Linked DNA regions of Stegostoma tigrinum. The protein of the gene in region 3 purifies or fractionates together with the protein of the main gene of each other region. This does not show direct contact. Links are inferred from orthologs where the notes say so. Each region holds a gene or a part of one and is shown on either strand. Other genes may lie near its edges.

Region 1 (8,158 bases), on a different chromosome or scaffold from region 3:
TGGCAGCTGTGGTTTCCTAGTGCTTCGGCTGCCATCCTTTAGCTGACCTAGTATGGGAAAGAAACTCTGACATAACATGAGACTTACTAAAATGGTACAGAATCAATCAATCAATCAGTTGGAGGGTAGGTGGTTTTATTCATACAGCAGGATGTCTCAAATGCAGTTGAGATAAAGTCACTCATCACAGCTTCGAATTCACACAAGAAATTTTGTAAATTCCTTCACAAATTTAAAGCTAAATGACCAGTTGATATTGCTTTTCTTTAGTCAAAATGTGATTCTGCGTGCAGGGTTCCAAGAAATACTTCTGATATGTGCTTTTAGCAGAGATAGTAGGAACTGCCGATGCTGGAGAATCTGAGATAACAAGGTTTAGAGATGGATGAACACAGAAGGCCAAGCAGCGTCAAAGGAGCAGGAAAGCTGACGTTTTGGGTCGAGACCCTTCTTCAGAAAATGTTTTGAGCAGTTTGTTTATGCTATGTTTTGATCTGAGCACAGGGGTAAGAATCATTGGACACGACATTATGTTGCATCAAATGGACTATAAAGATGCAAGTTGTTGAAGTAAAAGATAAAATTCAAAGATATTTTTTTCCCTCCCTGGTTATGCAATGGTTTTGTCTTAAAAAGGGTAATTGAGATTGTCATCCATCCAGCACTATTTCTAAAACTGGGTGAAGAAGATGAAAAGGTGTAGGGGTTGGGTGAACATGAAGATGATCCAATATTTCTATAAGAAATTCCAGCTCAGAATATCCCAATACCTGATCAATTATTTTTGTAACCAACTGATTATGTTTTATTGCAGTGAAACTTCATGGCTCTTGAGCTTTAATTTGACTATTTTAATTTAGAATAATAAATGCCACCTTACCTTCACTTTGGGTAAAAACTCAACTAACCACAGACAGAGACAGAAATCATATTTAATTCAAATATACATTACCCATTGATCTAAAGACATTTGTTTCAACATTCAACATCATTTCAAACAAATATCGCTTTGCCAGAAATTCACCTTATCTAATACATTTTTTAACTAATGTAAAAAGTCATCCATAATTTTATCTTTTTAAAAAATTCTTTTCAGAACTATAACATAACATCACGGGCATGAAGGTATATCTGTTCCCTTTGCTGCAGAGTATCCTTCATGTTTCTAGAATAAAAAATAATGTGTGATTCAAGGATTACCACCTTGCAAGTATTTTTGACCTTCCAAAGTTTAGTGGGGTGGAGAGCAGGGGTGAGTCAGGTTTTCATATAATTGCAGCGTAAAGTCTGCATTCTTGTACTCCAGTCTGGAAACGGGACAACATTCCATTAGCTTTCTTGTGGTATAAACGCAAGAAACAAAAGACCATACAAGTCAATGCTTGAGGTAAATGTGGAAAGAAATATCACAATAAAGAGTGAAATAGTAGTGAGCAGAGTTTTTAAAGAGTTCAGAGCAGTGAAATAAGCTGTGCTGAGGTCATAGGGATTTGAAAATACCACAAATGAAGGGTAAGTGTGCGACAGATTGGGAGTACACTTGATATTGTAAAAGAATGACAGTGAATAGCAAACTATTTTACATCAGTCATAATTTTTATGTACATTTCAATAAAAGAGGGGAAATAAATGTCAGGAGGGATATAAAACAGCAGCAAGATTCACTTTCATACAAGCAATTTCCTCCCTAAAGGCATCATGAGTCTACCTACAGCACACGGACTACAGCGTTTCAAGAAGGCAACTCATCACCACCTTCTCAAGTGCGACTAGGGATAGGGAATAAATGCTATCCAGCTAGCAATGCCCACATCCCACAAGTCAATTAAAAATAAAAGTTGCTCAAGTACAAGGTCATTGAGCATTTTAAAAATAGTTAAGAAAGGAAAATTCAACTTATACTGTAATTTCCCAGTTTGAACTCCTGAATTACAATTTTGTTCATCTTAACTTTCCAAATATAACAGCCAATGGGGAACTTCAAACCAGCCTCTGCAGGAAAACAACACATATGGACCAAATACTGAACTACAGGAGCAACCATCCCAACACCCACAAACGAAGCTGCATTAGAACATTATTCCAACGAGCCACCACACACTGCAGCACAGAGGAACTACGCAGAGCAGAGGAAAATCACCTATACAGCGTATTCAAAAAGAATGGGTACCCTATGAACACAGTCTGCCGATTCCTCAGCAACAAACCCAAAGAAACAGACAAAACAGGCTCAGAAACCAGAACCACTCTCCCCTACATCAAAGACATCTCCGAAATGACTGCCAGACTACTCAGACCTTTTGGCATCAGGGTAGCCCACAAACCCACCAACACACTAAAACAGCAGCTAATGAATTTAAAAGACCCTATACAGACAACAAATAAAACGAACGTCATCTACAAAATACCTTGCAAGAACTGTGACAAACACTACATTGGACAAACTGGCAGAAAGCTAGCCACCAGGATACATGAACATCAACTAGCCACTAAACGACATGACCCACTATCACTCGTATCCTTACATACAGGTGAGGAAGGACACCACTTTGATAGGGACAACACATCCATCCTAGGACAAGCCAAACAGAGACACGCACGAGAATTCCTAGAGGCATGGCATTCCAACCGGAATTAAATCAACAAACACATTGATTTGGAACCAATCTACGATCCCCTGAGAAAAAGAACGGGAAATGACATCACCAACCCAAGGAAACCTAACCAGATAAATAGAAAGCGGGACATAACACCAGCGCTTCGTCGGAGGCTCACTGATGATGTTACCTAGAATGGTGACAAAACATCTGAAAACTAACCTTCCAGCTCAGCGAGCAAACTCACATCCACAGACAAGGATTTTGAAGTTAATGTTTCAGTGCAATAGAGAGGTGATTAAAAATTGACAAGGACAGGCGTAGTAGATGTATGGGACTTATAGCAGAATGGTGAGCATGCTATACTTTTAAGGACGTGTTGAAGTTTATGGTGGAGATTAGGAAGCCAATGAACAAAGTGTTGAAAAAGTAAAGATGTGAATGATGTCAATTGCAGTGAATAAAAAATAGGGATGACAAAGTGATATTTGAGGTGAAGGTTAGTGGTCATGCAGTTACTTTGGACATGAGGTTTTGTGTCTCAGCTCTGGAAAAAAATAGAACATTGAGACTCCCAGGATAATTGGGGCAAGCAAGGAAAGTGCATTCAGAACTTGCTTACACACTGCTTAATATCTGCTAAGTATCAGTAATGTCAAACTTTAACAATGATTTACATGATTTTATACTCCTCATTATTAAGAAAGTACCCTCCAAGTTATTCATAATTTAGATAGAATGCTAGCTGTTTATTAACACTGGTTAAATATAATACCTAATTGTAAAATATTTAGAAGTGAATTATCTGTGATACAAGACAGTAGTGAAATTAAATTAAATGCAATTGTATTAGCATTTTTTTCTCATTTGTAGTGGATAGCCCTCATATCTCGAATTGCTTAATTGTCAGAGGAATAGCAGCAATGCTATTCCTCTGGCAGCTTTTGTGCTCCTGAGATGCTGCTTGGCCTGCTGTGTTCATCCAGCCTCACATTTTATTATCTTAGCAGCAATGCTGTTGACTGACTACATTAATGGAAAGAATGCCACATTCCTAAAGATACTGGAATTAGAAATTACAACCAACAAATTCACAAGATTATTTTCAAAATATTAAGCATGTAGAGATCAGATCTTGAAATCCATCACAGATAGGTGTGGTTAAAACTTTCTGTCAAGGTGCTAAGTAAATGAATTGTACAATTTTCCCACAGAGTTTGCGAGGAAAGGGGTATGGCAAATGTAAATATCACCCAAAAGCAGGTTGTGTCAGGAGGAAAAGCCTCTGGCTACCTGCCTCTATTCCACAGTTTTGCCCAGACTGTGGCCCAGAAGAAGTAACATGCGGTGTCTCCCAGATATTTTGAAGCCTTTCACACCCTGTAAGAGGTTTGTCACTTAAATGCCCTCTTGACATCAGACCCTGACCTTCTGTTCTTTAACACATCCTTTCACTGAATAAAAACCTTAAACATCTTTAACTTTTGCGAATTCTAATGAATGGTCATCGACCTGAAGCGTAAACTCTGCTGCTCTCCCTGCAGAGATATTTGCTCATCTGTCCAGTAATTTCCAGCGTTTTCTGCTTAAAACATTCCGTGCCAGAAGAATAACAGGAAAAATCTGGTGGATTAAAATGTTGTTTAACATTTAATGTTAAATGTAATAATGTAAACAACATTAAATGTTGTTAATGCAGAGACAGACGGACTAGATCTCGGTTTGTTGGTGAGAAACGACATGTGAAGTTACTCGGCAGACAGACTGCTGTGAATAATGCTACGGTTATCTTGTCTGTGCAGGCAGCTTCCTTGACATATTGCAATCCTCACCAAAGATAAATCCTTTAAGTCATTATACCCTTATTCACATCCAGTAGAAAAAAAACAACAAAAAACTGATAGAATACGTGAAACACTTCAAAATTAGAATAAAATCCACAAAGTGATTGGAGATAAATACATTTAACCAGTCATCATTAATCATCATTGTACCTTTTAAATTAAAATTAAAAGCTAAGGGATTTCCATTTTCCATTCCACTTTCCTTCTGAATAGATTTTCATTCTGCAATAGATTTTGATCCTCAATCATGGTCCATCCTTTCTCCCTGTAATCACTGCCAAGCTAGGGGAGAGGTTTTCCGATTCAGTTTCCAGGACAACAATTAATAAAAGGGACTCGGGGCCTAGATGCACTAGCACGGGAAAGGCACAAAGCAAGTGGATGGCGGAACATGCAAACTGGAGGAAGACGGGAGGCTGGTGGAGGACAGCAGTCGAACCAACTGATGCTGTTGCGCCCCGGAACGCTTTTCCTGGTCGCTTAGGTCAGAGTAAAAGGAGCCATCTCCTCGCCTGACTGGGCAATAACCATTTACAACAAATTGCAACAAACAATTGGAACCCTGCCCGGATCGGGCCGCATTCCATTCCCGGGCAAGGTTCTTTACCTAATTGTTTACAGGCTCCGCGCTCTCTTCTTGCCCGTCCTGCCCTGGCCCCCACTCTCTGGCATCTCTATTCCCTTCTCCCTTTTTACGGTGAGCTCCACAGGAACGCGGCACCCGGAACCTCAGTATTGGGGCGGAGGAGATAGGGGAAGAGACGGAGCGTTGCATCTCGTTTTTCCGGTACCACACACGTGTGCGTTCGGGTTGGCTGGGGCTGCCGGAGGAGGGTGAGGAGCAGCGGGTCTGTTTGAGGAGCTCGCTGCAGCGAGTGGAGCTGAAGGGTAACAGGTAACTCGTTTCGTTTCAGACTGTTCCTGTTTTTTTGTTATGTCGATTCTAGAAGTTGTCTGGCTTCTTGCTGCAAGTTAAGCAAGGTGCTTAAGTCATTTGTAAATCATTTACTTAACTCGAAGGCCCTGTTTCGAATGAAAAAGAAATACACCTCCAACAGGCGGCTGCACTCCTCCTTCAGTAAGGACCCACTGAAGAGTCAGCTTCTTTGCTCCCCCCCGGCCTTGAGTTAACTTTTATTCTTTGCATTTCTTTCCACTCCATGTGCTTGGCATATGTATAAACGTACCTAAAGATGACTTGATAGTTTCAGTCTCTGTAATTTAATAATTTTATTTAATTGTAATTCTTCTTTTTAAAAAAATAGCATTTCACAACCTTAAGTCAATCCAAATTACTTTAGAGTCAATGAAATCTTTTTGAACTATAGTTGGTGTCTCAATGTAGGTGTCAATAAATTCAGAGCACGATAAGTGCTAACTGAGTGATAACTTACTTCTTCAGAGTGGGGTCTTGTGATATTTACATTCTCATGAAAACAGGTGCAACTTTAGTTCAATGTTTCAATTCAAAAATGGCACTACCAACAGTTTTGGAGAAACCACTAAATTATGTCTGTTCAAGTCTCCAAATTGGGACCTGAGCCCACAATCTCAACCTGAGACAGTAATACTTTTAATGTTGATTTTAGGCTATCAGTGTCATGATGGGAAATTGGATTTCATATTCCTCAATTTGGTGCAACTTTGAATTGTGGTGAACATCACCCAGTCTCTCTCCAAGTTAGCCTGAAGCAGTTCTACTTTCATCTGCCCATCAATGCAAGCCCTCAGCTTCATTGAGAGACGTTTTAATTTTCACACTTGTAAACTGTCAACTGCCTAATGCTATAACTGTCAAGTACTTAACAGTTGAATATTGGGAAGAACAAAGCTGTCATCTTTGGTTCTTCTTCACAGACTCCATCCCTCACTCTGGCCTCACTGTCTAAAAGTGAACTCTTGATGTTACCCTGGCATTTTTTTTGACCATTAGCTGAATTTCTTTTATTTGTTCTTGGGATCTGGGCATCTCTGACTGTGCCTGCTTTTGTTGCCCGTCTTTACTTTTAGAGTCATTCAGCACAGAAATAGACCCTTCCGTCCAACTAGTCCAAGCCAAGCATAATCCCAAACTAAACTAGTCCCTGCTCCTGGTCCATATCGCTTCAAACCTTTCGTATTCATGTGCTTATTCATATATCTTTTAAGCATCATAATTGTACCCACATCCACCACTTCCTCAGGAAGTTCATTCCACAGGTGAACCATCCTCTATGTAAAAAAAATTGCATCTTTTTTAAGTCTCTCATCTCACCCTAAAATTGTGCCCCCTAGTGTTCAAATTGCCCATCCTAGAGAAAAGACAAGTACCATTAACTCTTATACCGCTGTTTATTTTATAAATTTCTGTAAGGTCTCCTTGTTGCCCTAGAGAAGGTGGTGGTGAATAGGATTCTTGAACCGCTGTGATCCTTGGAATATAGGAGCATCCATATTGCTACTAGGCAGGGAGTCCCAGGATTTTAACCAAGCAACAGTGAAGATACAGTATTTGTATTCCTAAACTGGTGGTGTGTGATTTGGAGAGGAACATGCAACTGGTGGTGTTCTGATGTCCTTGTTCTTTGAGATGATAGAGCTTATGAGTGTGGAACGTGCTGTTACTGGAGCATTGGTGAGTTACTGCAGTGCATTTTGTAAGTAGCACAGAATACTGCTCCTGAGATGCTGCTTGGCCTGCTGTGTTCATCCAGCTTCACACTTTGTTATCTTGGATTCTCCAGCATCTGCAGTTCCCATTATCTCAGAATACTGCTACTGTATGTTGGTGAAAGGAGTGAAGGTTAAAAGTGTTGGATGTGGTACCAATCAAGTGTTCTGCTTTGTGCTGGATAAGGTCAAACTACTTGAGTTCTGCTGGAGCTGCACTCATCCAGGCAAGTGTAAAATATTCCATCACACTCCTAACTTGTACCTGGTGAGCAGGCATTTGGGAGCCCAGAATTAAGTTGTTCTTTGCAGAATGCCTGACATCTGTACTGCTCTTGTTGTCTCAGTGTGTTTATGGCTGATTCAGTCAGTTTCTGGTCAGTGGTAACCGCCATCAAGGTGTTGACAGTGGGGGTTTCGCCATTAATCTCAAAAGGTGATGGTTAGATTCTGTCATGTTGGAGGTGGTTATTGTATGGCATGAATGTTATTTGACAGTCGTTAACCCAGATCAGGATGTTGTCCAAGCCTTGTTGCATAAGAACAAGGACTACTTCAGTAGTTGAGTTGATATAGATTTTACTGCACCTTGTGCAATTGTCAATAAGCATGCCCCACCTCGATCTTATGATCAGGTGAAGGTCATTGTTAAATCAGCTGAAGATGGTTGGGCCTTATGCACTACCCTGAAGAACTTCTGCTGAGATGAATGACCTTTGACAGCAACCGTTTTCCTCTGTGCCAGATATGACTCCAACCAGTGAAGTGTCCATGCCTGTTTTTCTCTCTTCCCTCACCCCACGACCCCCATTTCCAATGTTTCCTGCAGTCCCTGCTACTGTTCTTGGTCAATGAAATCTTTTTGAACTGTAGTCAGTGTCTCAATGTAGGTGTCAATAATTGCTGTCCTGGGGTCAAGGCCAGTTAGACACACCTCATCTCATGATATCTGCTCGCTCTTATGTGTCGGGTAGCCTTGGCAGACCCAAATTGAGCATCAGCAAGCAGGTTATTGCTGAGATGATCATGACTAGAATAATAGGGCAATAACTGTCTGGCCTGGATTTG
Region 2 (7,446 bases), on a different chromosome or scaffold from region 3:
AACCACCACTGCCTTAAGAAGTTTAACAAAGAGTCAGTGAGCACTTAACTTACAATAAATCTGCAATATTTTACAGGAAAATAAAAACAGATTAGACTATAAAGTAAACTCAAATTAATTATTAATTTCAGAGATTTTGCATTTACACTAAATGCTACAATTATGTTACCATGCATGTCTGCATTTATTTTGCCAAATATTAAAACTAGATATTACATCATGTACTTACATTCTAGCAGATTTTAGAAGTTTGGTACAACACACATATGGTAACAGGCACCTAGTTCAGATTAACCAGTAATGTCTAACCCTTGGCATCCTCATCACCCAGGGTCTAATGGCAAAGGCAGCTGTCGTCATGGCTTCCATTAGGTCAGCCAAACGCCAAAGGCTACATATTGTAAGGTAAAGCCAAGGTCAATCGGAACGGGCAGACATCTTAGCCTCACTGGATTCTTTTAATTAAAAGATCAAGGTCTTGTTAACAAGGTTTGGATGAACACTTACATAATTTAAACAATGTTATATAATTTAAAACAATAAAAATGCCATTAGAAATATTTAAAAGCAAATACAAAAAAGTTAAATGCAAGAATATATTAAGCAAGATATTAAACCACTCACTGCGACCTCCACCACCACCATAACCACCGCCATAACTTCCATCACGACGTGGTCCTCTTGCATGCTCCACAATTATGCGCTCGCCACAAAGTTCTTTCCCATTCAGTTCATAGACTGCATCATCTGCATCACGTGCATCTTCAAACTCAACAAACCCATAGCTGAAAAGAATCAATTAGAACATTATGAAATACTCTTTGCATGGCTCACATGATGAACATCTTGCAACTAGGTTATTTGGTAGATATCCTCCAGCAATTATTGCACCCTCAAAGTGGACTATCGTTGATAGTTCAAAGGTTTCTGCAAGTCAATTCAAAATGTGGAGAATTAATAAACCAAAGAGGATGCAAGTGCAAGTGCTTCTAAATGTAACTACAGCAAATTGTGTTTTAACCGGCACCCTTGATAAATCAGCAAGAATTATATACCTGAATTACCAGAGGTTTACCATGTTACTGTCATCTCAGTGATGTTCGAGTAGTCAGTTGAAGGTGCGAAGACTATATGGTGTTAAGTTTAACTTAAGGCAAAGTTGCAAGATTAAGTGATTAATGCTGTAAAAAGTGATATACATACAAACACACACACACCCCTTGCACTACATTTCAAATATTTAGGAGCGTGCTTTTACATTGATTTCATGGACCTCTTGATTAATCAGCATACTTGATTAACCAATACACTCCTGGTCCTCTAGCTGCCAGTTAACAAAACATTTGTTGTAGAACTTAAAAATAAATCAGTGGATCAATGCTAACAAGTGAAAAATGAGATTGTACAGATTTTGACACAATAGTCTCTCTGTTTCTATGATATTCCAACCCTGACTGCTGTGGAGAAGTCCAACAAGTTAAATGAAATTCTTAACATTGACAGCAATTTCCTCTCGGAATTATTGGTCAGTGGCAAATCATTAAGTCCTTTATCCTGAAAATTCTTCAAACCCTAATATGTTTCAAATATCCACCGCCCTTTTGAAATATGAATTCTTTCACTATCATCTGATAGGAAATTTCATGTTCCAACACTGTAGATCAATTTCAACCAGACATTCCTTTGTTATTTCACCAACTAGTAACTAACTTCAACTCAGTTCCCTCTAATTATGGAGGCAAAACAAAAATCCCTTTTCATTATAGGGTCATTCAGCCAGGAAACAGACCATTCTGTCCAGCCAGTTTAGGCCAAACATAATCCCAAAGTAAACAGGTCCCACCAGCCTGCTCCTGGCCCATATTCCTCCAGACCATTCCTATTCATGGACTTATCCAAATGCCTTTTAAGTGCTGGAATTGTACACAGTTCCTCAAGAAGCTCATTACACACACGAACCATCCACCTTCTGTGTTAATAAAATGCGTCTCAAGTCTTCAAAGGCCTCATTTGGAACAAACGACAATTCTGATGTTAAGCGCTACCTTACTTTTTCTGCATTTCGGATCCAAAACTGTAAGTTTAAAATTCCTGCAGTTCTGCCCAATCACTTTCATAACCACAGCTTTTGCGACAGCCGGTCAAATACTACCACACAGCAAGTGATTCTGCAAGAATTTAAAAGGGCACAATTTGCAGAAGGAAAGCACCTGGGCAGTCGTGTTAAAACGCGAATAGAGTGTGGAAAAGCGACAGGTCGACGACGGAATGTTGTTATGATTGGCCGAATCCACGTGGACAGCATGAACTAACTATTAAAGGCGAGATTTTGACAAATGGGCATTTGTCGGCGGCGAGGGCGAGAGGATGGCGTGAAGTCGAGCGTATAAACAAAGAAACCGCCTCACGTTTTGGAAGAGCGGACTGAGCAGAGGGAGGAAGGTGGTCCCTGGTGTGACATTTGCACGGGAAATGCATCGAGCGGAATGTGGAAAAGTAAAGCTAACGCAAGGCGCTCGGCGGTGAAGGCAAGAGGGAGAGAAATCAAATAAAAACAAAGTATATGGGGGGGCCGAGAATGACTAAATAAAGGTGTACCCTTTCGCGTTTGGAGCCACTTCTCTCCCGCCCTGGCCTCGCTTCACCCTCCCCTCTCCCAGCCGCCATTTTATCCCAATCCACGCGGCACCCCCTTCCCCCAACGCCGCTCAAAGGGGAGGGGGTGAAAATGGAGGCGGCATTCCCACAATCGCCGAGGTGATGGGGAGTGAGGCAGTAAACTTCCAGCGATAGCGGTAAGGGGAAGAGAGAAAAGGGCGGTGAGAAGAGAGGGGGAAAGTGGGGCCCCTCGGCTCCTATCACAACCTCGTCAGCACCCGCCGCCGCCGCGCGTCCCTCACCCATTCTTCAGGTCCACCTCCAGCAGCCTGCCGTAACCCCTGAAAAACCTCTCCAGGTCCTTCTCACGAACTTGGTAACTCAACCTCCCGACGTAAACACGCGGCATCTTCCCTTTCTATTTATTTATTATTTCTCTTCCCCGCCCCCCACCCCGGGCTCGCGCTTTCTCCCTCACTCCGATCGACCCGCCGCTTTATTTCTTTGTGCTTCTCGGGTGATGTGGTACACCAGTCAGCGTTCCCCTCTATCTCTGCACTCCCATCCTCGGGGAGAAACTCGCCGGGTACGTCACCGGGACTTGCCATCCAGCTCACACCTGTCGTCATCACTGCACGCTCTGCCTTCTGGGTATTGTAGTTCGTTTTGTGAAAGAGTTTGAGACAGTAGGAACTGTAGATGCTGGAGAATCTGAAATAACAAGGTGTAGAGCTGGATGAACGCTGCAGGCCAAGCAGCACCTTTCCCTGAAGAAGGGTCCAGACCCGAGGCGTCAGCTTTCCTGCACCTCTGACACATCTCTCTCCTTCCTGGACCCCTCTATCTCCAGCTCTGGAAACCGATATCCATTTTAAGCCTACCGACTCCCACAACTATCTAGAATATTCCTCCTCTCACCTCCCTGTTAAAAGGCCATACCCTATTCCCAATTCCTTTGCCTCCACGCATCTGTTCCCGGATGAGGCATTCCATCCCGAACATCCCAGATGCCCTTTTTTTCCCCAAGAACCACAACTTCCCCTCCACAGTGGTCGAAAATGCCCTCAACCGTGTCTCCCACATTTCCTGCAACTCATCCCTCACATCCCCTATCCGCAATAATAACCAAAACAGAATCCCCCTCGTCCTCACGTACCACCCCACCAACCTCCAAATCCATTGCATCATCTTCTGACATTGTGATGCCACCCAAAGGTTGCAGGAACAGCAACTCATATTCGACTTGGGAAGCCTGCAACCCAATGGTATCAATGTGGACTTCACAAGCTTCAAAATCTCCCCTTCCCCCACTGCATCCCAAAACCAGCCCAGCTCATCCCTGCCTCCCTAACTTGTTCTTCCTCTCACCTATCCCCTCCTCCCACCTCAAGCTGCACCTCCATTTCTCACCTACTAACCTCATCCCACCTCCTTGACCTGTCCGTCTTCCCTGGACTGACCTATCCCCTCCCTACTTCCCCACCTATACTCTCCTCTCCACCTATCTTCTTTTCTCTCTCTCTCCCGATTTATTTCAGAACCCTCTCCCCATCCCCCTCTCTGATGAAGGGTCTAGGCCTGAAACGTCAGCTTTTGTGTTCCTGAGATGCTGCTTGGTGTTCATCCAGCTTCACACTTTGTTATCTTGGAGGCTTGGGGACCGCTTTGCAGAACACCACTCAGTTCGCAACAAACAACTACACGTCCCAGTCATGAACCATTCCAACTCTTCTTCCCCCCCACCCCCCAGATCCTTGGACAACATGTCCATCCTGGGTCTCCCGCTTGACGCAATGACACCACCTGAAATATGCAGGAACAGCATCTCATTTCGCCTGGGAACCCTGCAGCCCAATGGTATCAATGTGGACTTCACAAGCTTCAAAATCTCCCCTCACCCGACCGCATCCCAAAACCAGCCCAGCTAGTCCCTGCCTCCCTAACCAAGCCCCACCCTCCTCTCCTACCCACTAACCTCATCTTGCCTCCTTGACCTGTCTGTCCTCCCTGGACCAACCTAGCCCCTCCCTAACTCCCCACCTACATTCATCTTCACTGGCTCTAACCCCGCCTCTTTGACCTGTCTGTCTCCTCTCACCCTATCTTTTTCTTTATCCATTTTCTATCCACCTTCCCCTGCCCTCCCCATTTATTTCTGAATCCCCTTCCCCTCCCCCATTTCTGAAGAAGGATCTTTGACCTGAAATGTCAAACATTCCTGCTCCTCTGATGCTGCTTGGCCTGCTGTGTTCATCCTGCTTCACAGCGTGTTATCACAGATTCTCCAGCATCGGCAGTTCCTATTATCTCAACACCTTGTTATTTCTGTTCATACCCTCACGTGCTGTGCTTCTGGTTAATTAATGGGACCAAGTACTGAAAGCTTCTCCCTGCAGCAAAATGAGAAACTGTCTGAGAAACTCGTGCGATTAGGGGGTGGGAATCCAAGAACTGCTGATGCTGGAAATCTGAAACAAAAATTGCTGGAAAAACTCAGCAGGTCTGGGTTGTATCTATTGGAGAGAAAGCAGAGTTGACTTTTGGGTCCAGTGATCTTTCTTCCCTTGACATCCAGGGTCACCTGAACTTGCTTCCCTTGTTCTTCACTCTTAGGGGAACACACTGGCCCTGAATTCTCACTACTGCTTCTAAAAGACTCCCACTTTCCAAATGTAGACTTACCTGCAAGTAACTGCTCTGTTGATGTTGGCCAGATCCTGTCTAATATTGAATTTGATGCTTCCCCCAGTTAAGAAAATTAACTTCTACACTATCCTTATCCATTTCCAAGTTAATTGAAATTTACTGAGTTTTGGTTACTATCCCCAAAATCTTTGCCCACTGAAACCTCAACCACTTAACCAGCAACTAGTAAGCAGTATTACAGACACAAGTCTTCAGTCAATATAATTCACACCACATGATATCAGGAAAAATGATTAGAGGTACTAGATAGTACAAAGGCTATGGACTCTGACAACATTCCGACAATAGTACCAAAGACTTGTCTCTAGAACTTGCTGCTCTCCTAACCAAACGCTTCCAATACAGTTACAACACTAGCATCTATCCAACAATGTGGAAAATTGCCCAGGTATGTCCTGTACACAAATGCAAGACAAATCCAAGCCAGCTAGTTAGTGCCCATCAGTGCACTCTCAAACATCAGGAAAGAGTTGGGAGGTGTCTTCAGCAGTGCTATCAAGTAGCACCTGTGCATCAATAACCGGCTTCGTTCTCCTGAATGCACTTTTAAACACTCCACCCGTTCAAACCTTTCACACAAAGGCAATCCCAGTTAACGTTAGCAAAGTTCAAATACTCACAACTACAACCTTGTTTCTCTCCTACTTTTCTGTGATTTGCCTAAATTAATGCCCTTCTATTTCTCTCTGACTTTAGAGACTTGTGTCTCCCAGCAAAGTAAGCACTCACTTTTGTATTTTAAGCTCTACCCAGAAGGCCTCATTTGAGAATCCTTCTAATACATGCTCCCTTATTACTGTAGTGATGGTTACCATTATCAATAGTGCAGAGCCCCTACCACTGTTACATTCTCCCCAGCGCACCCGACATTTCCATACTCTGGAATGTCGAGTTGCCAGTCCTGTCCTTCCTTAAAACATGTCTCAGAGGTTGCAACAATATCATATTCCCACATGCTGGTCAATGATCTATGTCCATCCATCTTACCAGTCCATCTCCTTGCACTAAAATAGATACAATTTAACTTTCTGGACGTTCTGTGTGCCTTTTCTGTCCATATCTGGTCCACCTGTTAGACTGTCCTATCATTCATTCTTTCTCTGATTGGATTTGCTCCTGACTTTACATTCACTCTGTGCCCCATTCCCCTTGCCAAATTAGTTTCAAATCTCTTGAGTAGTGCAAGCAAACCTCACAGCAAGGATAATGGACGCATTCCAGTTCAGGTGCAACTCATCCAGCTTGTACAGATCTGACCTATCCCAGTTGTCCCAATGACGCAAAAGGCTAAAGCCCTCTCTCATACACTATCGCTTTAGCCATGCCTTCATCTGACCAGTCCTCCTATTCCTATTCCCATTAGCACATGGCACTGAAAGTTATCCGAAGATTACAACTTTAGCAGTTTTCCTCTTTAATCCACTATCTAACACTCTAAATTCCTGTTGTGGAACCTTACTCCTTTTTTACACACGTAGTCGGCATTGATATATACTATGATTGCTGGTGTTCACCCTCCCCTTTCAGAATGCCTTGAAACCTCTCTGAGACACCAGGGAGGCAACAGACCATTCCAGATGAAATAAAAAAACAAAAGACCCGTTTTGAGGAAGGGTCACAGACCCAAAACATTAACTCTCATTTCTCTGCACAGATGTTGCCAGACCTGCTGAGCTTTTCCAGCAACTTCTATTTTTGATACTATTCAAGAGTCTCAATTGCTGCCATAGAAACGTCTGTCAGTTCCCCTTCCAATCACATCCCTGATCAGTAAAGCTTTCTCAGTCATTTTTCTCCCCTGCTGTGCAGCGCAACCAACTGTCGTGCGACAAACTTGATGTTGCTGCTTTCCTGTCATTATCCTGCCACACACCTCCTCAACGGTATCCAACACAGTATATCTGTTTAAGAGGAGGATGGCCAAAGAAGACTTCTGCACTGCCTGCTCATATTTACGAGGCTCCTTGTCGTCACCCAACATTTTTCTGCCTGTGTAGCCATTACTTGGGACCAGCTCGCTAATCATGCAATTGGTTTTCAGCATCATAAATGCTCCATAGTGGGTCCGTCCACAGCTCCAGCCACTCAATGTGGTCAAATAACTATTCTCTCCACCAGTCTTGCCACTGTCAGTGATCTGTG
Region 3 (7,748 bases):
AATACCATCCTTGACTCCTTGGATGCTGAAGTAGTAAATGTCCAAATGCTGCAAGATGTGGACAATATTGAAGTTTGACCTGACAACTGGCAAAGTAACATTCACACCACACAAATGCTATCTCCAACAAGAGCGAATCCACCTGTTTTCCCTTGACATAAGGTCAAATTCCACTACAGCATATGGTGAAGTTTGAATTAAAATAAAACTAAATCTGAGAGAAAGAACTATCCTAATGCTGACCATCTAGTTACTTGCTGTCAATTATCTTAAAAACCCATCATTTTCACTCAAGTCCTTACAGGAAGGGAATTTGCCACCGTTACGTGTTCTGGCTTACATGTGACTCCAGGTCCACAGCAATTTAATCGACCCTTACTGAGATGGGCAACAAATGCTGGTCTTGGCAGTGACTCTGAATGAATAAAAAGGTAACCTCCTTCTTTGGCCAAACATTTGGGCATCTATCCGAAGAAGTTGGTCTGTCAGTGTTGTGGGCAAAGCCCTGGCACAGGTTACCAAGATTCATTGTGAAGATTACCAGTGTTAATGGGCAATGCAACAATGGTCATGGGCATTGGTAAGAACAACATAGTTAGGGAAAGGGTTGAAGATTTGCAGAATGAATGTAAGAAGTTAGGTAGGAAGTTAAGGTAAATAATTCTTTGAAGTTGGCATCACACATAAATAAGGTTGTTAAAAGCGTGTTTAGCAGGCTTGCCTTCATTGCTCAGACCTCTGAGTACAGAAGTTGAGACATTATGTTGAGGATGTAAAAAACCTTTGCTGAGGCCTTTTCTGGAGTACTATGTCCAGTTCTGGTCGCACTGTTGTAGGAAGGATATTATTAAGCTGGAGAGGATTCAGAAGAGATTAACCAAGATGTTGCCAGGAATGGAGGGTTTGGCTTATAAGGAGAAGCTGGAAAGTCTGTGACTTTTTTCACTGAAGTGTAGGAGGTTGAGGGGTGACCTTATAGAAGTTTATAGAATCACAATGGATATAGGTAAGGTGAATGGCGGGTGTCTTTTCCACAGGGCAGGGGATTTCAAGACTAGGAGACATATTTTTAAGGTGAGAGGCAGAAGATTTTAAAAAGATACAGATTTTTTTTACAGAGTGGTTCATGTGTGGAACGAACTCCCACAGGAAGTGGTGGATGCAGGTAGAATTCTGTTTAAAAAACATTTAGGTAAGTACATGACTAACATAGAAACATAGAAGATAGGATCAGGAGGAGGTCATTCGGCCCATCTAGCCTGCTTTGCCATTCTTCACGATCATGGCTGACCGTCCAACTCAAAAGCCTAATCCTGCTTTTTCCTCATAACCTTTGATCCCATTTGTCCCAAGCGGTATAGCTAGCTGCCTCTTGAATACATTCAATGTTTTGGCATCAACTACTTCCTGTGATTATGAATTCCACAGGCTCATCACTCTTTGGGTGAAGAAATGTCTCCTCACCCTCATCCAAAATGGTCTATCCGAAATCCTCATACTGTGTCCCTGGTTCTGGACACACCCACCATCGGGAACAACCTCCCTGCATCTACCCTGTCCAGTCCTGTTAGAATTTTATAAGTCTCTATGAGATCCCCCCTCATTTGTCTGAACTCTAGCGAAAACAATCCCAACCTAGTCAATCTCTCCTCATACTTCAGACCCACCATCCCCAGAATCAGAGATAATAGGAACTGCAGATGCTGGAGAAACCGAGATAACATGCCAGAGCCCGAAACATCAGCTTTCCTGCTCCTAAGATGTTGCTTGGCCTGCTGTGATCATCCAGCTCCACAACTTCTTAGCCCCAGAATCAGCCTGGTAAACCTTCACTGCACTCCCTCAAGAGCAAGAGCATTCTTCCTCAGAAAAGGATACCAAAACTGCACACAATATTCTCAGTGTGGTCTCACCATGGCCCTGTACAAGAAGTATTTGAAGGGTTATGGGCCAAGTGCAGGCAGGTGGTACTAGTTTAGGTTGGGATTACGGTCACTGCAGATCAGTTGGACCGAAGGGTCTGTTTTGATGCTGCATGACTCCATGACTAACAAGTTTGAGGCTTTCAAAAGTGAGATAGTGAGACTTCAGAGGCATTCTGCTCCAATTAGGGTGAAGAGCGAGGCTGGTAAGAGTAGGGAATAATAGATTAATAAAGATATTGACGCTCTGGTCAAAAATAAGTAGGTATATATTAGGTATAGACAACTGGGCTCAAGTGAAGAGTACAATGGGTGTAGAGGCATTCTTAAGTGGAAAATCAGGAGGGCAAAAAGGGAATATGAGATAGCCTTAGCAGGCAAGGTCAAATATAATCCAAGATAATAAAGTGCGGAGCTGGATGAACACAGCAGGCCAAGCAGCATCTCAGGAGCACAAAAGCTGACGTTTCGGGCCTAGACCCTTCATCAGATGAATCTGATGATCTGATGAAGGATCTAGGCCTGAACCGTCAGCTTTTGTGCTCCTGAGATGCTGCTTGGCCTGCTGTGTTCATCCAGCTCCGCACTTTATTATCTCAAATATAATCCAAAGTGATTCGACAAGTACATTAAGAGCAAAAGAGGAAGTTATGAGAGAATAGGACCTCTTAAAGATCAATGAGATCGCCTCTGTGTGGAATCTCAGGCGACAGGAGATTATTTCATGTCAATTTTTACTGAGGAGAAAGAAATGGAAGGAAGTCAATAAATACTGAGGAAATAAATATTGATGACCTGAAAACAGTCCACAATACAAAAGAAGAGGTAAAGGTCTTAAAAAACATATAGGTGGATGAATCTCTGGGGCCTGATCAAGTGTATCCCAGGACATTGTGGGAAGTTAGGGGAGAAACTGTGAGGCCCTATCAAAGACATTTGGTCATCTGCAGCCATGGATGTTGTGCCAGGGTGGGCTATGGTTTGCAGGTGCAGCAGGTAACTAAGATGATACATGGAATGTTGTCCTTCATTGTTAGAGGACTGGAGTTTAAAAACAGGGAGGTTATGCTGCAGCTGTTAAGGGTGTTGGCAAGGCTACGCCTGGAGGCATAGATAGAGTGGACACTCAGAGACTTTTTCCCAGGGTGGAAATGATTATTACGAGGGTGCATTATTTTAAGGTGATTGGAGGAAGGTATAGGGGAGATGTCAGAGGTAGGTTCTTCATACAGAGTGGTGGGTGTGTGGAATGCACTGCCGGCAGTGGTAGTGGAGTCAGATACTTTAGAGACTGTTAAGCGACTCTTGGATAGGCACATGGAGGGTTGTAAAATGTAGGATATGCAGGGTAGATTGATCTCAGTAGGATAATAGGTTAGCACCACATCATGGGCTAAAGGGCCTGTATTGTGCTGTACTCTTGTGTGTTGTGTTCTACGAAACCTGGTCAGCATAGGCTGGTTTGCTCGAAGGGTCTGTTTCCGTGCTGTATGACCATGGCTATTGACCAATATTACCATGGTCAATGGTGAAGGTAATCATGCTATAAAGTGTGTGTATTTTTATTTTTGCGTGTTTTCTTTCAATTGTGTCCTGAAAGCAGAAAGGACTGTTTTAAAACCATTATTTGAAAAGTTTACTGCATGCTTTGAAAAACAAGTCACATGAGCCTCATGGCAAGCATGCAGGAAACAGTGTTTGAAACAAGCAGCAATTGAAGTTTAGTTTGTGGTCAGACTGAAGCTGAGGGGTTGTCTACAAGGTGTTATATGGTTTATGGAACAAAAACACTGTTGTTGAAAAAGCTCAGAAGGTCTGGCAGCATCTGTGGAGGAGAAAACAGAGCTAACGTTTCGGGTTCAGTGACTTAACTCTGTTTTTCTCCTTCACAGTTGCTGAGCTTTTCCAGCAACTTTGTTTTTGTTCCTGATTTACAGCAATTGCAGTTCTTTTGGTTTATATGGTTTATGGCCTGGTGACCAATTATGGATAACAAAAGCCTGGTTTTGTCTCTGTATGTGACGGAGGGGTGTGTGTGTGTGTGTGTTTGTGGGGAGTGGGGGGGCGTTGTAAGGGAAGAACGTTTGTCACTGTTTAACTGCAAAGGGTCTATTCGCTGGTTATAAAGTCATTCTTGTTAATTACAGAAACCTGGGCAGTGCTTTCTATCGACTTTGATCTGGACAACAGGTAAGGTGGAAAATTTTATGTACTAATTTTAATATTTTTGTGATAACTTGGAAAATAGCAAGGCGCGATTTCCAGTGAGTTTGACACAGGAAAAAACTGCAGAGGCCCCGGGGTGGAAGGGAAGACAGGCGGAGGCTGGAGGAAAGGAGAAGTCACCGTTTCGGCTATTACCCTTCTTCAGGACTCAGCTGGATTTCCAGTGGGTGCTGACAGTGGACAGTAGTTGACGTTACCGCGGTCATTGTGCCCCTGATAGCTGGGCTAGCCGCTCCAGGCCCCAATCCGGCAAGAGTGGCCGAAGTCCCACCGCTGCTCACTGACGAGGGTCAACACAGAAGGCCCTGCGTGGTTCCCATGGTGACGCTGCGCGCTGACGTCAGGGGGCATCCACTGCGCAGGGGCGGCCCTCGGCCCTCCGCATTCCCAGCATTCCCTGTGCGGACATGGCGGCCGCCGCCGAGGTTCAGTTTGCCCAGCGGCTCGCCTCCAACGAGAAGCGCTTTCGGGATCGAGCCGTTCGTAAACTCCGCCGCTACCTGAGTGCCCGCTCGCAACGACTCTCAGGTAATAACAGCGGGGGGCTTCCGTCCCTCTGCCCCCGGAACGCACCGGGGGGCGCATGACATTCACACGTGGGTACCTGAGGGGTGGGCAGAGAGAGACAGTCAGATAGAGGAGCGCAGTTAGGCCATTCAGCCCATCGATTCTGCTGTACCGTCAGTCATGGCTGATATGTTATTCAATCCCATTCTCCTGCTTTTTCCCCATAACTAGTCATCCCCTTACTAATCAAGAACCTATCTATTTTTGTCCGAAGTACACTCTGTCACTTCAACACCAAAACCCCCTACTGTAATAAGTTCCACAGAGTCACCGCTTCTGGCTGAAGAAATTCTTCCTCATCTCAGTTCTAAAGGGTCGTCTCATCACTTTGGGCCAAGCCATTGGGTCCTAGTCTGTCCCACTAGTGGAAACATCTCTACATCTGCTCTCTTCAGGCCTGTCAATATTCAGGCAGGGTGGAAAAGAAGAGAGGGATAGGGCGGGGAGAGGGGATGGGTTAGGACAGATGATGTTGGACGACATGGGGATCCAATGGGAAGCGGAAGTCTGGTGACTCTGCTGTTGACTGATGAGTGCTGAAGAGGATCTGGGTTACCAGGTAAAGGGAGGTACAAGGGTTATAGGCGTCACTTTTGGAGAATGCCACCGGTGACTGTTGGGGCAGTGTAGATGTGGAAGGGCAATGAGAGGATGAGTTCAGTGAGCTGATTCTCTGTGGGTGTAGGTGTTAGTGGGCTCACAGTGAACAGAAGGAGGTGTCCACCAACTGATCCTGGATTAACCTGACAAAAGTAAGATTTGGAAAAGAACAAGAGGTGACTAAAGTTGTCAGGTTGCAGTAACAGCTGGTGATATGTGGAGCCAGGTGGAACTGAACAAGAAGCAATGGAAAAGACAATTTCTGAAAGAAGGATGACACTGAAGGAGGTTGCAGACTGGAGAGACAAGACTTCTCTACATCATGATAAGTATACTTACACTGGATGTGAAATAATATGCATCTCCTCAGAAGCTACCAGAAAAGTCGTCTTTTATTGCATGATGCTGTTTGACATGTGGTAATTGTATAGGCTATTGTCCATTGGTGTATGCATGATGCTGTAGTTTTCAGAACTCCAACAATTCATTCTATTTTATTTTTTATAAGGTGGTTTCAGTCAGGAAGAGTTACTGAAAATGTGGAAGGGCATTTTCTACTGCATGTGGATGCAGGACAAACCACTTTTACAGGTAAGTCATGATTATAGGAGGGCATCCCCAACAGCAGGTTGCAAAGGTTTTAGAGTAGATCTATAGCTTGGGTTGTGGGTGTTGAGGTTGCTTGGCTTGTTGAGCTGGTTCGTTGTTTTGCAAATGTTTTATTACCGTGCTTGGTAACATCCTCAGTGCAGCCTCCGATGAAGAGCCAATGTGTTTTCCTGTCTGGTTTTTAAACTTGGGTCCGTTGAGATGGATTGCATCACTTCCAGTTTTCCTTCGTAGTGGAATGTATATGGGGTCGAGTTTGACGTGTTTATTAATAGCATGCTTTGTGGAGTGCCAAGCTTCCAGGAATTCCCGTGCCTGTCTCTGCCTAGCCTGTCCCAGCATCTTGGTGTTGTCTCAGTCGAAGTTGTGGTTCTCCGTGTCCATGTGGATTGAGATGAGTGAGTATTCATCGTGTCTTTTTGTAGCCAGTTGGTGTTCTTGTTGTTAGTTTCCTTCCTGTTTGTCTGATGTAGAGTTTCTCACAGTCTCTGCGGGGGATTTTGTAGATGACATTGGCCCTGTCCATGGCAGGGAGTGGGTCCTTAGTTCAGGTGAGCAGTTGTTGTAGGGTTGTGCCACTCTGATGCCCAGCATTCGTAGGAGTCTTGTGGTGAGTTCCAACATGTTCCTGATGTAGGGTAGTGTGATGAATGTACGGTAGTGTGTAGAATCTTTCTGATGCTATTCGTGTAGTCATCTTCTTCTGACCCAGTTCTTTGGATATCTGTTATCCTTGAACACTTGGAAGAGGTATTCTTCTTCCTCTTGGCGTAGTTCTCTGTTGCTGCAGTGTGATCTTGCCCAAAAAATAGTATTCGCACGCAGCTTCATGTGTGCGCACTGGGATGGTTCCTGTTGAAGTTCATTACTTGATTTGTGTGTGTGGTTTTTCGGTGTACTTTTGTTAGCAAACCCTGATGGGACTGTGGATGGGGAGGTGATGCCTAGTGATATTCTTGCTGGACTGTTAACCCACAGCCCTGATAACGTTCTGGGGATCCAGGTTTGAATCCCACCATGGTAGATGGTGGAATTTGAATTCAGTAAATATCTGGAATGGAGAATCTAATGATGACCATGAATCCATTGTCGATTGTCAGAAAAACCCATTGGGTTTGCTAATGTTCCTTAGGTGCTGCAGGGTCTGACCTGGACTGTGTGCAGCAGGACTGTCAAGTGACAGACAGTGAGCTCTCTTTGACCTAACAAGCAGTTCTCCAGTGGCCATGTGTCTTTTTGTTGACGTTTTCTAACTACCTTAATATTGAGTCAAAAGTTCTTGATTTGAAGTTTGGCTTGTCTGCCTCACTCAGAAAATGAAGAGTCCCAGGTTGTAGGAAGCACAGAATGTGTTTGTGGGGGTGAGTGTTGCCACTGGCACACTGAAGCATTCATGTGATGTAACTCTGTGACAGGGTTGTTCAGTCTCCTTTCTGCAGGCAGTAAGTATGCATCTGCGCCCCCTTCATCTGGACAAGAGTTGATCACAAATTGAAAATTGGAGATCTAGGCTTGTGTGGTTCAACTGAATAAAATCTCTACTGTTTGTTACAGGAAGAACTGGCAAACACCATTTCCCAATTGATACACGCCTTCAAAAATCTGGATGCCAGTAAGTTTCTGCTGTTCTGACCATCAATATCTTGTTCCAGAGAGATACATTGTGAAGTCGTGGATAACATGGCTGGATTGTGTTGTGTTGGGCTTTTCCATCATTGAGGAGCCTCCTCCTCCAGTGAGTTGTATAATTGTCCACCACCATTCACAACTGGATGTGGCAGCACTGCAGAGCTTAGCTCTGACCCACTGGTTGTGGGATCACTT

What was found. Proteins that work in one complex are often made in the same cells at the same time.
Region 1: the proteins of ribosomal RNA processing protein 1 homolog A (region 3) and lyar purify together in Homo sapiens (co-immunoprecipitation; 3 studies listed by IntAct, with this or other methods). This does not show direct contact. The link is inferred for Stegostoma tigrinum from reciprocal best matches to the Homo sapiens genes RRP1B and LYAR.
Region 2: the proteins of ribosomal RNA processing protein 1 homolog A (region 3) and serine/arginine-rich splicing factor 6-like purify together in Homo sapiens (affinity purification with mass spectrometry; 3 studies listed by BioGRID and IntAct, with this or other methods). This does not show direct contact. The link is inferred for Stegostoma tigrinum from reciprocal best matches to the Homo sapiens genes RRP1B and SRSF6.

Annotation. Positions count from the first base shown.
Region 1 is NC_081354.1:55,231,677-55,239,834, reverse strand, and holds the start of lyar (cell growth-regulating nucleolar protein), read left to right. Parts: upstream 1-5,010; 5' UTR 5,011-5,336; intron 5,337-8,158. Other genes in the region: zbtb49 (zinc finger and BTB domain-containing protein 49), read right to left, coding at 1-35. UniProt on the Homo sapiens protein: Plays a role in the maintenance of the appropriate processing of 47S/45S pre-rRNA to 32S/30S pre-rRNAs and their subsequent processing to produce 18S and 28S rRNAs. Also acts at the level of transcription regulation.
Region 2 is NC_081372.1:22,887,295-22,894,740, reverse strand, and holds the start of serine/arginine-rich splicing factor 6-like, read right to left. Parts: upstream 3,149-7,446; 5' UTR 3,008-3,148; coding exon 2,901-3,007; intron 2,383-2,900; exon of another isoform or gene 2,306-2,382; coding exon of another isoform or gene 2,211-2,305; intron 786-2,210; coding exon 625-785; intron 13-624; coding exon 1-12. UniProt on the Homo sapiens protein: Plays a role in constitutive splicing and modulates the selection of alternative splice sites. Plays a role in the alternative splicing of MAPT/Tau exon 10. Binds to alternative exons of TNC pre-mRNA and promotes the expression of alternatively spliced TNC.
Region 3 is NC_081365.1:1,312,165-1,319,912, forward strand, and holds the start of ribosomal RNA processing protein 1 homolog A, read left to right. Parts: upstream 1-4,542; 5' UTR 4,543-4,555; coding exon 4,556-4,676; intron 4,677-5,823; coding exon 5,824-5,906; intron 5,907-7,478; coding exon 7,479-7,536; intron 7,537-7,748. UniProt on the Homo sapiens protein: Positively regulates DNA damage-induced apoptosis by acting as a transcriptional coactivator of proapoptotic target genes of the transcriptional activator E2F1.